Linked DNA regions of Macaca mulatta. The protein of the gene in region 1 interacts with the protein of each later gene in a biochemical or structural test. Links are inferred from orthologs where the notes say so. Each region holds a gene or a part of one and is shown in the gene's direction. Other genes may lie near its edges.

What was found.
Region 2: the proteins of KBTBD8 (region 1) and NOLC1 form a complex in vitro, tested with the Homo sapiens proteins (2 studies listed by BioGRID). The link is inferred for Macaca mulatta from reciprocal best matches to the Homo sapiens genes KBTBD8 and NOLC1.
Region 3: the proteins of KBTBD8 (region 1) and TCOF1 form a complex in vitro, tested with the Homo sapiens proteins (2 studies listed by BioGRID, with this or other methods). The link is inferred for Macaca mulatta from reciprocal best matches to the Homo sapiens genes KBTBD8 and TCOF1.

Annotation. Positions count from the first base shown.
Region 1 is NC_133407.1:130,548,413-130,553,793, forward strand, and holds part of KBTBD8 (kelch repeat and BTB domain-containing protein 8), read left to right. Parts: intron 1-2,787; coding exon 2,788-3,902; intron 3,903-5,381. UniProt on the Homo sapiens protein: Substrate-specific adapter of a BCR (BTB-CUL3-RBX1) E3 ubiquitin ligase complex that acts as a regulator of neural crest specification.
Region 2 is NC_133414.1:114,258,686-114,264,714, forward strand, and holds the start of NOLC1 (nucleolar and coiled-body phosphoprotein 1), read left to right. Parts: upstream 1-2,380; 5' UTR 2,381-2,402; coding exon 2,403-2,522; exon of another isoform or gene 2,523-2,557; coding exon of another isoform or gene 2,558-2,599; intron 2,600-6,029. UniProt on the Homo sapiens protein: Nucleolar protein that acts as a regulator of RNA polymerase I by connecting RNA polymerase I with enzymes responsible for ribosomal processing and modification.
Region 3 is NC_133411.1:159,323,685-159,329,781, forward strand, and holds the start of TCOF1 (treacle protein), read left to right. Parts: upstream 1-2,448; 5' UTR 2,449-2,615; coding exon 2,616-2,723; intron 2,724-6,095; coding exon 6,096-6,097.

The DNA of each region.
Region 1 (5,381 bases):
GGCCTGGTAATGGAAACTTCGGTGAGATTCACTTACCCAGATTATCTATTAGATATGGTTAGGTCATGTATTGCCTTATATAATCTTTATAATCCTATCTCTGCATAGTTGTTGTGCCATTTTACTTATGAAGAAGCTGAGGCTCCGTGAGATTACGTTTTAATAACCTGCCTAAATCATCTATCCAACAAGTAAATGGCAGAGGCTACATTTGATTCCAGAGCCAGGCTTCTTGGTCGCCATATGACTCTTAAGGAACAAGAGTGGGTACACTAGGTCCTTTTTAAAGTTTCCTTTAAAACATTTTTATTGTATATTGCATTTGAATAGTAAAAAAAAGCCAACAAAACAAAACAAAAAATACAAAGTAAAAATGTCTGTATCTTACTGAAATTTAATAATCTGGATTCTATCATTTAAATGTCATACTTATGTATGCTTACTAAGTGTTATACTTAATGTATGTATGACATTAAAATGATAGAATACTTATTAAGTATAATACTTAGTAAGCATACATAAGTATGACATATGTATACATACTAAGTATACTTATTAAGCACTGTACTTAATAAGTATACTTAGTAAGTTTACATAAGTATGACATTTTCACTTTGAAGTTTCATTTTTCATTTTTGAAGACCTAGAAAAAAATTTTACTTTAAAAGAGGTATGCTATGATAGATTCCTGATTTTCTTGATTCCTTAACATCTTAAATTCTTTAATTTTATTAAGTTAATTTTAAAAAAGAGTAAAAAATACTTGAGAAATTTTCTGCGGTACGATATGTGCATTGAAATAAAGATATTTGGCTGGAAAACTCATGGATTATAATTTGATCTCTTGCTAGAGGTTTTTGTACCGAAGTTTCTTGGTACCAGCGCTGCTTCCTGTGTGGGATGTAGAAAGTCATACTTAATGTTTCTATGTCTTGCATCACTAGTGGAAGAATTAGAATAGCTGGAAATCTGGAATGGCTGTTTCATGATACCAGTAACTCATCAAAACTGAAATTTGTATGATCATTAGAAATTTTTTGCTACTCTGGATTTTGTGTAAGGAAGTGCCCTGGCTTCATTTATGTTGAGTTTACATGAAGAACTTACTCTAGAGGAGAGGAAAACTCATGAAGTGTCAGACCACTCCTGTGTGTAAGACGAGCCTATTCAAGTCAACAGTAGTTCCCATGATAAAGGGATATGTGGTATATCCTCCTTTGGGAGTTCATCTCTCCCTAACACAGGGCTTTATTTTTCTTTTTAATTGGTAGCTGTATAGGTGAGTCTTGCAGCACCTGAATTGAAAACCAGCACATACATAGGAACATCTAGTTTTTAGTCATCAAAAAAGCCTGTGTCATACTAAATTAAAAGGTACATTGTAGAAGTAAAACCAGGACTCGAAGATGATTAACCTGGGCAGCAAGTTGAATCCTTGTACCTCCAGTGTTTCTCATACTGCATTTTAAAATAAATTCCGTGAATTTGAGACATATTTTTTAAGTGACTGGAAATCTTTGCAATTCATTTTTTATAACATCACAAAAATTAAATACGATGGGTCTGGATCATCTAGAATGAAACTTTAAAGGAGGGAAAATAAAGGCAAATGATGTTTGCAAGTGACTAATACTTAAAGAGCCAGGCTGTGTAATGTTTCAGTCAAGAAAATCCCATAAATGCAATAATATTTTAATAATAGAAAAAACCAACTTGGTCTCAAAGGTAAAAGTTTGGGGTTTTAAAAACCATTATCTTCAAATAATCGGTTAACTATTAAACTCTGTTTAAAAGAGGCATTATATATTGACTCTACCATAATCTTTATTTATGTCTAGATTTAGATAGGTAAAATACGGTATCTTTGAGAAAATGAAGTATTTCCTTTTAAGCAAATGTTCTCAAAATTTCCAAGGGTAAGTGAAGTGGTTATTATATTACTTATAATGGTTAAGGAAGCATTCAAAAGATAACAGTTTTAAAAAAGAGTAGGTGGAGAATATGTACTTTTAAAGAACTTCTTGCTTTTTTAAGAGGAACATTTTAAAGATATATTTTGGATACAAGTTGCCTTGTAATTTTCACCAGGACACGAAAAGTTTTATTAGGTTGTTTCTTTGTATACTAATGTATCATGATGATACCTTTATAGGTTTTTTTTTTTTTTTGAGATGGAGTCTCATTCTGTCTTCCAGGCTGGCACTCAGCTCACCGCAACCTCCGCCTGCCTCCTGAGTAGCTGGGATTACAGTGTGTGCCACCACGCCCGGCTAATTTTTTAGTTTAGTAGAGATGGGGTTTCATCACCTTGGCCGGGCAGGTTTTGAACTCCTGACCTCTTGTGATCCACCCACCTGGGCCCCCTGAAGTACTGGGATTACAGGCGTGAGCCACCATACCGGGCCAGTATTCTTAAGCTTTCTGACTGGCATGGCACAATTTAAGATCTGATGTCCCTAAGGCAACTCTGGATAGGGGCTTCTAGGAAAATAAAGTGACCTGGAATATGTGTGTCACCTTTTGATTTGCATTTACTTAGGTGACTCTCCTTTTTTCATAGTTGGCACAAAGCGGGCTAGCCCTGAGAGTACGGGTTTTGAGGTTAGCCAGACTAAATCTTTCTGATACATTATCAATTTTTACTCCTATTCAGAATATCAGGGACTATTTTAGGAAATATTCAGTTTCAAAAGGTTATCTTTGTGGTAACTTTGTACTTTTAAAATCTTGCCACAATAATTTTGATTTATAGCACACATGTAATATTAACCACTCTTTCCTTCTTAGATCCATGTTCACTAGCGGCCTTACAGAAAGTACTCAAAAAGAAGTTCGAATAGTCGGTGTTGAAGCTGAATCGATGGATTTAGTGTTGAACTATGCCTATACCTCCAGAGTTATTCTCACAGAGGCCAATGTTCAAGCCTTGTTCACTGCAGCTAGCATCTTCCAGATTCCTTCCATCCAAGACCAATGTGCTCAGTATATGATCAGTCATTTGGACCCACAGAATTCTATTGGGGTCTTTATCTTTGCTGATCATTATGGTCATCAGGAACTCGGAGATCGATCAAAAGAATACATCCGTAAAAAGTTTCTGTGTGTCACCAAAGAACAAGAGTTTCTCCAGTTGACAAAAGACCAGCTGATAAGTATATTAGACAGTGATGATTTAAATGTAGACCGAGAAGAGCATGTTTATGAAAGCATTATAAGGTGGTTTGAACATGAACAAAATGAACGAGAAGTGCACCTTCCAGAAATTTTTGCTAAATGCATACGTTTTCCTCTGATGGAAGATACCTTCATAGAGAAAATTCCACCTCAGTTTGCACAGGCTGTAGCCAAAAGCTGTGTAGAAAAGGGACCATCCAACACCAATGGTTGTACACAGAGGCTTGGAATGACTGCTTCTGAAATGATCATATGTTTTGATGCTGCCCACAAACACTCAGGAAAGAAGCAAACAGTGCCTTGTCTAGATATAGTCACAGGAAAGGTGTTTAAACTATGCAAACCACCAAATGACCTGAGAGAAGTTGGGATTCTTGTATCACCAGATAATGACATTTACATTGCAGGAGGGTACAGGCCAAGCAGCAGTGAGGTCTCCATCGACCATAAGGCAGAAAATGATTTCTGGATGTATGATCATTCCACCAATAGATGGCTATCCAAACCATCCTTGCTTCGAGCTAGAATAGGCTGCAAACTTGTCTACTGCTGTGGTAAAATGTATGCAATCGGAGGTCGTGTTTATGAAGGTGATGGGAGAAACTCACTAAAATCTGTTGAGTGCTACGACAGTAGAGAGAATTGCTGGACGACTGTTTGCGCAATGCCAGTTGCAATGGAATTTCATAATGCTGTGGAGTACAAAGAGAAGATCTATGTTTTACAGGGTAGGTGCCTGAGTGATTCAGTTTTTCATGGAAGGGTAACACATCAAGCGGTGGTTTACTTAATTATACTGAAACAGTTGTGTTCCTGTTAATTGAGGAATACCTCCAGCTTCCTTATCAAACTATTGGAACAGTCTGTTCTGTAAAGAGCTATAAAGAAAATAAACTCTTGAATTTAAAAAAGGCAGGTATTGTTAAGTTACTAAAATAATCCTATACTTTTTAATGATTTTGTGTCTTGATATCATGTAGAATAACTATTTTTGAAAACATTCTTTAATAAATAGTAGTTCGGCAGTTTGGGATAACTATTTCAGAGTACTTTGTAGGACTTGAAATAAATAGCAAGGTTGTTACATGGCTGTTTTTGCTCTTGAGTTACATTGAGATGTAGCAACTGGTGTTGATGGAATTTACTGGATTAGTTTGAAAGAGAAAAAGGAACAAAGCATTAATTAAGTTATACTATTTAGTTACCAAAGAGTTTTATATAAGCCTTATTATTGCAAAAGTTATGAAACTTAATTACAAAGAGTTTGGAAGTATAGTCTTTAAGTTTCACCTTCACTGCTGTTTATGTTGCCTTTCATAATACATTTTCAATTGTTTTCACCGGAAAACTTTGAGATGTCACTTTTTTTTGGTTTGCCATTTTAAGTGGGACTGTCTGATATATGTAGTGTTTTTTGTTTGTTTGTTTGTTTTTTTAACTGTTAAGGACTACTTTGACAAAAATACAGTAGAGGTAGAGTGACTGAGTCAGAGTAAATAAGACATTTGATTCAAGGCTCTGATTTGTGATAACTAGTATTTTCCTTTTATTTGGTTTCTTACATATTTTAGTTGCTTGAATGTTTAATGCAGTGTAGATAATAGCAACATCCTTATTCTTCATATGTGTCCTTCAATTGATGTTTTTCTCACACTACTACTTAAGGAAAAGGAGCAGCTTCTATGAGGATATACAGTCATGTGCCATGTAATGTTTTGGTCTGTGATGGATCACATACACAATGGTGGTCCTATAAGATTATGATAGCATAATTTTACTGTACTTGTTCCATGTTTAGATACGTTTAGATACAAAAAATGCTTCCCATTGTGTTATAGTTGCCTAGAGTACTCAGTACAGTCACATGCTGTACAGTTTTGTAGCCTAGGAGCAATAGGCTACAGTGTAGCCTAGGTGTGTGGTAAGCTCCCATCTAGGTTTGTGTAAGTATGCTCTATGAAGTTCTTTGCACAAGGACAAGTATCACTTAACCATGCATTTCTCAGAATATGTCCCTGTCATTAATTGATGCATGACTGCCCTTATCCCATTGTTTTCTTTCTTTCTTCTTTCCCCTTCCCCTTCCCTTCTTTTCTTTCATTTCTTTCTTTCTGTTTTGTTTTGAGACAGGGTCTCACTCTGACACCCAGGCTGGTGTGCAGTGGCATGATCTTGGCTGACTGCAACTTCCGCCTCCTGGGTTCACA
Region 2 (6,029 bases), on another chromosome or scaffold:
ACGAGGTCAGGAGATGGAGACCATCCTGGCTAACACGGTGAAACCCCATCTCTACTAAAAACACACACACAAAAAAAAAACTAGTCGGGCGAGGTGGTGGGCGCCTGTAGTCCCAGCTACTCGGGAGGCTGAGGCGGGAGAATGGCGTAAACCCGGGAGGCGGAGCTTGCAGTGAGCTGAGATCTGGCCACTGCACTCCGGCCTGGGCGACAGAGTGAGACTCCGTATCAAAAAAAAAAAAAAAAGGCCGGGCGCGGTGGCTCACGCCTGTAATCCCAGCACTTTGGGAGGCCGAGGCGGGCGGATCACAAGGTCAGGAGATCGAGACCACAGTGAAACCCCGTCTCTACTAAAAATACAAAAAAATTAGCCAGGCATGGTGACAGGTGCCTGTAGTCCCAGCTACTCAGGAGGCTGAGGCAGGAGAATGGCGGGAACCCGGGAGGCGGAGCTTGCAGTGAGCCGAGATCGCGCCACTGCACTCCAGCCTGGGCAACAGCGTGAGACTCCATCTCAAAAAAAAAAAAAAAAAAAAAAAAAAAATTGGCCAGGTGTGGTGGCGGTTGCCTGTAGTCCTAGCTACTTGGGAGGCTGAGGCAAGAGAATGGCATGAACCCAGGAGGCGGAGCTTGCAGTGAGCCCAGATTGTGCCGCTGCACTCCAGCCTGGGTGACAGAGCGAGAGTCTGTCTCAAAAAAAAAGAAATAATAATAATGTATGCATGTGGGTAGAATAGGAAGCATGGGGAAGAGGGAACTGTGGAGGTTGTTTTTTTTTTTTTTTTGCCTTTTTTTTTGTTTCTGGAATGGAGTCTTGTTCTGTCTCCCAGGCTGGAGTGCAGTGGCACAATTTTGGCTCACTGCAACCTCTACCTTGTGGGTTCAAATGATTCTCCTGCCTCAGCTTCCTGAGTAGCTGGGACTACAGGCACCTGTCACCATGCCTGGCTAATTTTTTTGTATTTTTAGTAGAGAAAGGGTTTCACCGTGTTGGCCAGAGCTGTTCTTGAACTCCTGACCTCAGGTGATCCACCCACCTTGGCCTCCCAAAGTGCTGAGATTACAGGCGTGAACCACCATGCCTGGCTTTGTTTTTGATTTTTGAGATAGGATCTCACTCTGTGGCCCAGGCTGGGTTGCAGTGGCAGGATCATAGCTCATTGCAGCTTTGACCTCCCTGGCTCAGTCGATCCTCCCGCCCCAGCCTCCCAAGTAGCTGGGACACAGGTGCGTGCCACTACACCTGGCTAATCTTTAAAATTTGTAGAGAGAGGGGGGTTTCACTATGTTGTCCAGGCTGACCTCTAACTCCTGGGCTTAAGGGATCCTCCCATCTTGGCCTTCCAAAGTGTTGAGATAACAGGTGTGAGCCACTGTGCCTGGCCAGTTTTATACAGGAGAGGGGAGTGTCTGGAGAAAGGCAAAGGAGAGGTGTGTTCCATGAGAATCCTTATCCTTCTTGAGCGGCATTAGTGGGAGGTAGCCAAGGGGTAGTGGGTAGGATCGAAGCGATTGCTAACTGCTAATATGATCTGAAATGTGGCAGAACTTGGAATTAACTTGGTAGATGTGAGCATTGATATTGGAGTTACTCATGACAAAGGGAGCAACTCTGACCCTGGAGAAAGAAGGGCTATTCAGGTTTAGTGCAAGACATCTTTCCTCTTCATGGAGCTGACCTAAGGCGGAATATAAGGGGAATGGGAGGGGCGGCTTGGAAATCAACACCTGCCACCCTCACGACTGATAACTTGAAGGATCCTCTGGACGACTGATAACTTGAAGGATCCTCTGAACAACACCTCCCACCCTCACGACGGATAACTTGAAGGAGCCTCTGCAGCAGAGGCAGGAGTCTGGAGGCTGGGATAGTATCAGAAAGGGCCTCCCTGGGTGTTGGAGGCAATGAAGATGAAGGGCGAGAATCCATTGGCCGCGCCAGTGCGCCAGTGGGGGCGGTTGGGAGATCTTGTAGACCAAGTCTAGAACGGGACTGTTCGAGCCCGCTTGTCCACTCATTACTCTGGAATCCGAATCCCAGCAGGGGCGCGGGAAACCGCTGCTCTGAGAAAAGGTACCTCCCCCAGAAAGACAGCGCGGGAAGTCCCGAGTTTCCCGCCACGCCGAGGGCGTGACCCTTGACGTCAGAGCTCCACCTCCACAAACTGGCGGCCAGTGGGCTCCGCCCTTAACCAAGATGGCGATACACGTGGGACCGGAAAGAGTTTATAGATTTCCCGTCTACCCTACCTCTGAGGTGGAGGTGGGACTGTCCTGTGGAGCCCCGCCCTTTCCGCTATGCGCCCGCGCGGCGCAATGACGTACACGGGCCCGCCCACTGCCCCTGTTGGGTTCCTGAGTCGTGCTGCGTCGACAACGGTAGTGACGCGTATTGCCCGGAGGATGGCGGACGCCGGCTTGCGCCGCGTGGTTCCTAGCGACCTGTATCCCCTCGTGCTCGGCTTCCTCCGCGATAACCAACTCTCGGAGGTGGCCAATAAGTTCGCCAAAGCGACAGGAGCTGTGAGTTCCGGGCTTGGCGTGGGGACCGGGCTGAGATGACCACAAAGCTTCAGGCCCTGACGTGCTTAGGTTTCCAGGTGGGGAAGTCTGTGGGGTCCGCCAGTTCAGTGTCTGCAAGGCCTTTACGCCGACCCCTGGGCAGTGGTCAGAGAAAGCCTGCGGCCTCGGTCGCTCCTCTTCCCGCAGTTCTGACTAGATATCGCTGAGTCTTGTTGTTTTTTTTCTTGTGGAGCCGTGCAGTGGCGGCAGCGTGGGAGCCTCGTGGCCCGAAGTCACATGGCTGGCAGAGTGCAGCGGGGAGCTAGAGCCTTGTCCCACTGAGGACGTTGGTTCTTCGGCATCTGTTTCTTCTGGGGTGCTTTTCGTTGGATGAGGCAAACCGCGATTTGACCTTACCCTCAGTTACATTTACTGGGCTTCAAAAGCAAGTGAAATTGCTTTAGAATGAAGGCCGGGATTGTCGTTAGTAAAGAAGAAAATGAATGAAAGTAGAAGCAGAGTTTTGTTTTGAGTTACACTAATGAGAATTGAGCATCATAAACAGCCCTACCAAGCAGGCATAGTAGTGGGCTTGGAGCTTTGGCTAATGCAATCAAACAAACCTAGGTTTGGGACCAGGCTCTGTCACTTTTTAGATACGTGACCCGGGCAGTTTATTTAACCTCTCTGAGTCTTTCTACAGGGATGTCATCATCCACTTTATAGGATTTTTGTGAATTTCAGTAAGATGATGTGTAAGAGTAGCAATCTCAGTGCTGGTGCAGAGGAATCTTGTAGAAGTTAAAGCTGTACCATAATGATGGCAATTTAGGATGCTCCAAACACATGTGAGAGTAAGAGAACCAGGAATGGGAAAGGTTTGTAATCTTTCACATCAACAGACATCCCTGCATGGGAAGAGACCTTGAGGGAGGAGAGAGAGGAGGTCTTCTGCAGGGATGATAGCATGACTAGAAAGGATGGCTTGCACTTTTTTTTTTTTTTTTTTTTGAGACGAGTCTCGCTCGCTCTGCCGCCTGGAGTGCAGTGGCCGGATCTCAGCTCACTGCAAGCTCCGCCTCCCGGGTTCACGCCATTCTCCTGCCTCAGCCTCCCGAGTAGCTGGGACTACAGGTGCCGCCACCTCGCCCGGCTAGTTTTTTGTATTTTTTAAAGTAGAGACGGGGTTTCACCGTGTCAGCCAAGATGGTCTCGATCTCCTGACCTCGTGATCCGCCCGTCTCGGCCTCCCAAAGTGCTGGGATTACAGGCTGGAGCCACCGCGCCCGGCCGGCTTGCACTTTTAGCAGAATCAGGCTGCAAAAGCAAAAGAATCAGATCAGCTTCAGAACTTCCTTAAGCTGGGACATGCTGCCATGTGATCTAACTGCTTTCTTAATGAAACTGTTTAGAGTTGACTGTTAAGGAGACTGCAGAGAGGACTTTCACAGTGGACTGAATGGAATTGGACATTTCAGAATTAGGATTCTTTTTTTTTGTTTTTTTTTTGAGACGGAGTCTCTTGCCCAGTCTGGAGTGCAGTTGCCCAGGCTGGAGTGCAATGGTGCGATCTCGGCTCATTGTAACCTCCGCCTCCTAAATTCAAGAGATTCTCCTGCCTCAGCCTCCCGAGTAGCTGGGATTATAGGCGCGCACTGCCACGCCCGGCTAATTTTTTTATTTTTACTAGAGACAGGGTTTCACCATGTTGACCAGGCTGGTCTTGAACTCTTGACCTCAAGAAATTCGCCCGCCTCGGCCTCCCAAAGTGCTGGGATTACAGGCGTGAGACACCGTGCCTGGCCTCAGAATTAGGATTCTGAAATGGTTTTATGTGAGAAAAGCTAATCTTTGTGAAGAGTTTACTAAGGGTCAGGAGCTAAGCCCTTTACATGCATTTAATTTTTTTTTTTTTTTTTTTTTTTTTTTTGAGGCGGAGTCTGGCTCTGTCGCCATGCTGGAGTGCAGTGGCATGATCTCAGCTCGCTGCAACCTCTGCTGAAGTGATTCTCCTGCCTCAGCTTCCCAAGTAGCTGGGCCTACAGGTGTGCCCCACCAAGCCCAGCTAATTTTTTTTTTTTTTTTTGTATTTTTAATAGAGACGGGGTTTCACCATGTTGGCCAGGCTGCTTTTGAACTCCTGACCTCAAGAAATCCACCACCTGGGCCTCCCAAAGTGCTGGGATTATAGGTGTGAGCCACTGCACACGGCCAACATGCATTATGTCTTATCCTCTCAATAACTTAATGAGATGTGTAGTATTATCTCCATTTTATAGAGAATAAAATAATCTCAGGGAGACTAAGTAATTTGTCCAAAGGTGAGTTCCCATGTGTCCTGACTCTGGTCCTTTACTCTTTTTTGTACCCCAGAGTCTCACTCTGTTGCCCAGGTGGCAGTGCAGTGGTGCAATCTCAGCTCACCCCAACCTTCGCCTCTCAGGTTCAAGTGATTCTTATGCCTCAGCCTCCTGGATAGCTGGGATTACAGGCGCCCACCACCACGCCCAGCTAATGTTTGTATCATTAGTAGAGATGGGGTTTCACCATACTGGCCAGGCTGGTCTCAAATTCCTGATCAGGTGATCTGCCCATCTTGGCCTCCCAAAGTGTTGGGATTACAGGCGTGAGCCACTGCGCCTGGCCTGATCCTATACTCTTATGTGTATTGTTTTGTGTGTGTGTGTTTCTTTTAGAGGGTCTCACTCTGTTGCCCAGGCTGGAGTACAGTGATGCAGTGATAGCTCACTGTAGCCTTGAACCCCTGGGCTCAGGCAATCCTCCTGCCTCAGTCACTGGAGTAGCTAGGACTACAGACATGTGCCACCACAGCTGGCTAATTTTTTTTTTTTTTTTTTTTTTTTTTTGAGACAGAGTTTCGCTCTTGTTGCCCAGGCTGGAGTGCAATGGTGCAATCTCAACTCACCATAACCTCCACCTCCCAGGTTCAAGCGATTCTCCTGCATTGGCCTCCCAAGTAGCTGGGATTATTACAAGCATGTGCCACCACGCTTGGCTAATTTTGTATTTTTAGTAGAGACGGGGTTTCTCCATGTTGGTTAGGCTGGTCTCCAACTCCCGATCTCAGGTGATCCACCCGCCTCAGCCTCACAAAGTGTTGAGATTACAGGCGTTTAGCCACCACAGGCCGAGCCATGGCAGTGCCATTGCACTCCAGCTTGGGCGACCAAGAGCGAAACTCAGTCTCAAAAAAAAAAAAAGAGAGAGAGATGGAGGTCTCACTGTTTTGCCCAGTGGTCTTGAACTCCTGTCTTTAAGTGATCTTCCTGCCTCGGCCTGCCAAAGTATTAGATTACAGGTGTGAACCACTGCGCCCAGCCTAAATGCAGTTCTTTTTTTTTTTTTTTTTTTGAGACTTGCTGTGTCGCCCAGGCTGGAGTACAATGCTGTGATTTCAGCTCACTGCAACCTCAGCCTCATGGGTTAAAGCGATTCTCCTGCCTCAGCCTCCTGAGTAGCTGGGATTACAGGTGTGCGCCACCACGCCCAGCTAATTTTTTTTGTTTT
Region 3 (6,097 bases), on another chromosome or scaffold:
CAGACCTCCACGCCACGTCCAAACCCAGGTTTCCAAGAACCTTCTCAACATCTGCACATGGTGACTGTAAGGCATTTCAAGCTCAAGATGTCTAATGTAGAATATATACTTTCACCTCTCTGTCCACATCCTCCTCTCCTCAATCAAACCACCCCCGTCTCAATCCTCTTCCAGTTTTTTCTATCTCAGTGAAAGATACTGCCTACTTGTTTGCACAGAAACCTCAAGGTCCATTCTGACATTGCCTCTTCCTTCCCCTCACATTCCAACACACCTCTGTGACAACTTTAGTTCCTGATTAACTCTGGGAACCTTCCACTGCTCTCCAACTCCACTGCCACCAGCACCCCCCCACCCTGCCCCCCCACCCCCTCCCCTACCACTTCACCCCCTCCCCCGCCCCCGACACACATACTGTCTTCTCCCTGGATGCCTGCCTGCACTCCTAACCCTGGCTTGTCTTCCCACATCTACTCATACCCACCAGACACACTCCACTCTCCACTGGGCAGGCACACAGGTCACAGTAAAATTCAGATTTCATCCTGTACCTCTTGGGCTTACACCGTCAGTGGCTTCCAATGGCTCTTAGGATGGAGAAAAAAAACCTGATGTGCCCAGTCCTTCACATGGAGTCTGCCCTCTGCCCACCTTCTACACTCCCCAGTTCCCCTGCTCTCCCTCTGGGCCATGCTACAAAGGCCTTTTCTTGTCTATTCTCTCAGCTGTACCTTCTGCCCTAGGCCCTTTGCACAGGTTCTTCCCTCTGCTCAGGTTTCTTCTCCCCGACTCTCCCTTACACATAGTTCTGGTTTCCTCATAACCATCAATTTCTCAGGGAATCCTTCCCTAACTCCCAAGAAAAAAATAGATCCTTCCTTCCTGTTATATGCTTTCACAATAATAGCACACACGCACACACAGAGTGCTATTGTTCAGAGCTCCTCCAAGCATTTCTGCTGAGAATTCATTTACTCCTTATGACAACCCAATGAGGTAGAAATTATAATTATCTCCATTGTACAGATAAAGAAACTGAGTCACAGCGAAGTTATGTAACTTGCCCAAAGTCACCTAATGAGGCAAAGCCAGAATTTGAACCCAGGCAGTGTGACTCCAGTGCAGCTTTTAAACACTATATTATTACATAAGAAAACACTATCTTTTTCCTTCCGGCACCTACCCGCTGTTTGTAACACTGTATTGTATGACTATTAGTCTCCTCCATTAGACTGTAAGCTCTATAGGAGTAGAGACTATTCCATCCCCGATGGTAGGTGCTCAATAAATATTTGCTCAAGAAAATCGGAAATGTTGAATGTGTACAGACACATAACATTTTCCATTCAAGTTCAAGACAAACATAAGCACATACCTGGACCTCCTAGGGTTAGGGACTCCTGCACTGGTAAGAAACATGCTGCCATCAGATTCTCAATGGGTCCACGAAGTTAAGAACAACTGACTCTAACATTCTCCAGCCTACCTCACCTTTTCCCTGCCAACCTTCCCTTAACAACTACAACAGCCTCACATTTAGTATTAATAGTATGTGCTTTGGTTTTAGCAATCTTTTAAAAACACAAAACAAGGTCAACCTCCTTTGAAAAGCCAGTCAGAGACTATCTAATGCCCTCAGAGCAAAGTCCAGACTCCGTTCGGGGTGGTGGTGTGGCAGACCTTGTCTACTTCTTCATCCTCATGGGCCCTCATTTGTTCCCTCTTCCCCACCCCACCCCACCCCACCTCGACAGCCCAGCAGCGCAGACTGGGAGTTCTGGGTTTAGGGTTCCCAGGCAATAGCAGGGTGTTTTCTCATGCCTAGACTCAAGCAGTACCCTCTGCCAGTCCTCTCCTTTGCACCCAGCAATTTCAGGTGTCTTTATGCCTCAGCTTAGATATCTCTCTGGGGTTTGGTGCCCCTCCTTGGGGCGCCCATAGGCCGCATCTGTCGCTGACAATGCACACCAGATATTGAACTATAGTTGCTTGGTTACGGACAGTAGTCTCTGTGAGCTTTGAGGGCAACCGCCATGTATTATGCATCTTCTGAATCCCCCTAGCCTAGCCCGGTGCTAGCCCAAGTTACAGTGCTTACTACAGATTCGTTTAATTAGCGAATGAATGAATGAATAACCTGACAACTCGTGTCTGGTTCATGGGCACCAAAAACCGTGTGAAATGGATAAACGAGCAGATAATGGCAGTACGAAGTTCGGATCTAGAGAAAGATCCAGATTAGGGAGTTCAGAGACGAGTAAAACGCAGACCCAGCCATCAGAGAATTAACAAGGAAGACAAATCTCTTCAAGGAGCCAGCCGGAAAGATTAAAAGAGTCATCCATGTCACGGCCGGGCCCGGGGGCGGGTCCCTGTCTAGCCCCGCCTGCTCAGCGCCAATGGGCGGTCTTGTTGCCCACGAGTCTCCGCCCCTTTCGCTTTGAGGGGCGGGGCCGGCCACTCCTGGAGAGGAGACTACGTTTCCCGGCGCGCCGCGCGGCCGGAGCCAAAGAGGAGCCGGAAGTGGGGCGCGCGAGGTCTTAGGGCGCGAGGGAAGTGGCAGGCGGGGACTAAGGCGGGGCGTGCAGGTAGCCGGCTGTCCGGGGGTCGCGGGCATGGCCGAGGCCAGGAAGCGGCGGGAGCTACTTCCCCTGATCTACCACCATCTGCTGCGGGCTGGCTATGTGCGTGCGGCGCGGGAAGTGAAGGAGCAGAGCGGCCAGGTAAACGTTCGTGGGCCGTGTGCGAGGGCCGCGTGCAAGATGTGGAGATCAGAGGCCCGCGCCCCGTCCCCAGGCGACCCGGCGGGCGCCTGGAGCCGGGTCCCGCAGTGCTCGACTGCGCGGGCCAGGGGTTCCAGAGGAGCCGCAATCTCTGCCTCCCCACTGCGACTTCAGTTCCCCTGGGCCTCACTTTCCTCATCTGTGCAGTGGGTTGGGCCAGAAAGTGTGCTCGCAGGGGCCGAACTTTGTAATTCCCGCGTCCCTTACCTCCACCCCCTTCCTGGTAGCGGGTGTTTTAAGTTTCCTAAGTCTCTCGCCACGTGGCTAGGCGCAGCGCGGCCCCCCCGGGACGAGGAGGTTTCTGCGAGTCTCGGGAGTGGATTGCAACCAGCCCCTCGGGGGAGCGCCTGGAGAAGGGACCCCACAGCCCCTTAGTTGAGCTGGAACTGAGGCCTTTAGCGATTGCCTGTACTGAGACGAACAGCTTTGGGAGTCGAACTCGTGGTACAGTCATTTCTTACTTGGTTGATTAATCCGGTACTCGGGGCGCTTCCTGGTGTTCGAATGGTGTCTGGTTCATGGGCACCAAAAACCATGTGAAATGGATAAACGAGCAGTACGAAGTGATGGTGAGCACCGTCTCCCGGCTCTCCTGGAGCTTACACTCTAGTAAGGTAGACAAATCAAAGAATCACAAAAGCAACTATATACTTAGCACTACAATAAGTGTTAAGAATGAGAGGGATGGGCCGGGCACGGTAGCTCACGCCTGTAATCCCAGCACTTAGGGAGGCTGAGGTGGGTGGATTACTTGAGGTCAGGAGTTCGAGACCAGCCTGGCCAACATGGTGAAACCCCGTCTCTACTAAAAATACAAAAATTAGCCGAGCGTGGTGGTGCACGCCTGTAATCCTGGCTACTCATGTGACTGAGGCACTAGAATTGCTTGAACCCCGGAGGCAGAGGTTGCAATGAGCCAAGACTCTGCCACTGCACTCCCGCCTGGGTGATAAAGCCAGACTCCATCTCAAAAAAAAAAAAAAGAAGAGACGGATGGCAGATTGCCCTGGTCAGGAATAGCTGAGGTGTAAATTGTAAATGCCTTCTGGTGGGAGGGAACTTGTGTACACACTGGCCTCAAGAAAGTCCACTCTCTGGAGCCCAGGAGTTTGAGGATACAGTATGAGCCATGATCATGCCACCGTACTCCATCCTGGGCAACAGAGCAAGACACTGTCTCAAAAAAAAATTTTTTTAAGTCCATAGCAGGCCAGATGACATAGCTCACTCCTGTAATCTCAGCACTTTGGGAGGCCGAGGCAGGCGGATCACTTGAGGCCAGGAGTTCAAAACCAGCCTGACCAATGTGGTGAAACCCTGTCTCTACTAAAAATGCAAAAATTAGCCAGACATGGTGGCGTTCACCTGTAGTCCCAGTTACTCGGGAGGCTGAGGCAGGAGAATCACTTGAACCCAGGAGGCAGAGGTTGCAGTGAGCTGAGGTTGAGCCACTGCACTTCATCCTGGGCAACAAAGCGAGACTCCATCTGAAAAGAAAAAAAAAATGTGTCCATAGCAGCTGAAGTGTGGAGTACAACGGCCAGATGCCCCTGGGGAGATGGAGGCAGGGGCTGACTGGAGTGGTCTGGTGGGCAGTTTGATCTTCCTTGGAAAAGCAGTGGTAAACCAATGGAGAGTTTTGAGCTGGTGAGAGGGTATCCTGAGTAGTCAGATCCCTTTGCCCTATGGTGTAGGCTCTGTTCCTAATGCTTACTCTCAGAACCTCCTGGAGGGACTAAAGGGTGATGGGCCCTAAGACGTTATCTATGCTTTTCCCACTCTCTCTGAACTTCACTTGCTCTTCCTACTGCAGTTATAGTACTTCACAGATAAGGGGAGCAAGAGCTAGTACCCATCTTCATTGGAGCAGAAATATCCTGCCCTTGTGGAGCACACATTCTAGTAGGAGCAGACAGGTAACAAATAGAAAAAGTTTAATAAGTTAGTGATATAGTGTATCCAGTGATGGTTGCTGCTTACTGTAAAATAAGGCAGGCAAGGGGGATAAGGGATGTCTGAGTTCAGTTATAAGTAGGGCAGTCAGGGAAGTCTCATTGAGAAGGTGTCATTTGGGCAGAGACCTGAAGGAAATGAGGGAGTGAGCTATGTAGTTAACAGGAGAGAGAACATTCCAGACAACAAGAATAGCAAGGCCCTGTTAGAGGCAGGGTGGCCTGACACATTTGAGGACAGCAAGGAGGACACTTTGCCTGAGGTGGAGCAGAGGGAAACTGACTTTGAAGTCTTAGTGTTACCGGCTCACTGCTGGGCACTGACAGATGGTCTTGTTCAAACCAGATAAGAAGAAACCTGAAGTTTGAAGAGGTGACGAGATTAGTTCAGTCCACCCATGCCCCACATTGCTTAGCCTCATTGGAGTACTTGATATCCTGGCTTCTTGACATTTACAGAGACAGTGGTGGGCCCTCTGGCCTCTGCTCCAAAGGCCTGGATTCCACCTGGTTCTGTCTGCTTCCACCAAGGTACCGGTACCATTTGGGCCCAGTCTTTTCCTTGCAGAGTAGTGGACTGTGGTCATGCCACCTGGATGCCTCAGGTGTCTGGGCTGTGGTTCGAGCTTTTGGAAGATTGGCTGGCCAGGTCTTTGAAAGCTTTTTTAAAAGTTAAAGTTGGGAAAAAACCTGTCTCATAGCCTCTAGGCATGGATAGTGCCAGAGAGACTGGGAGCTGGATAGATGCTAGCTTGGAACATTCCAACTCTGGCCTTTCAAAGGGGCCTCTCACCATGTTGTCTTAAAAGGTTTTAGCTGGGATTAGTTGTCCATCTTGTCTCTGGAAGGTTTTGGACAGAAATGGCAGGGCCAAACAGACATACTTTCCTGAGCATGTCAGGTTCAGAGAGAATGGGAAAAGCATAGATAACGTCTTAGGGCCCATCACCCTTTTTTTAAAGAAAGGGTCTTGCTCTGTTGCCCAGGCTGAAGTACAGTGGCGCGAGCATGGCTCACCACGGCCTCGATATCCTGGGCTCAAGTGATCCTCCCACCTCAGCCTTCTGAGTAGGTGGGACCACCAGTGCATGCCACCATTCTCAGCTAATTTTAAAATTTTTTTGTAGAGACAGTCTCACTATGTTGCCCAGACTGGTCTTGAATTCCTGGGCTCAAGTGATCTTCCTGCCTCAGCCTCCCAAAGTGCTGAGATTACAGGTATGAGCCACCGTGCCTAGCCAAAAAGACCCTCTTCTGAACCACCTGTCTGTGCAAGTCATGAGTTTGGGGAGAGTTGGGCCCAAGGAGGATCCTTACTATGCTGGGGGTTAATTGTGGCTTTCTCTTTACCTCTCTGCAGAA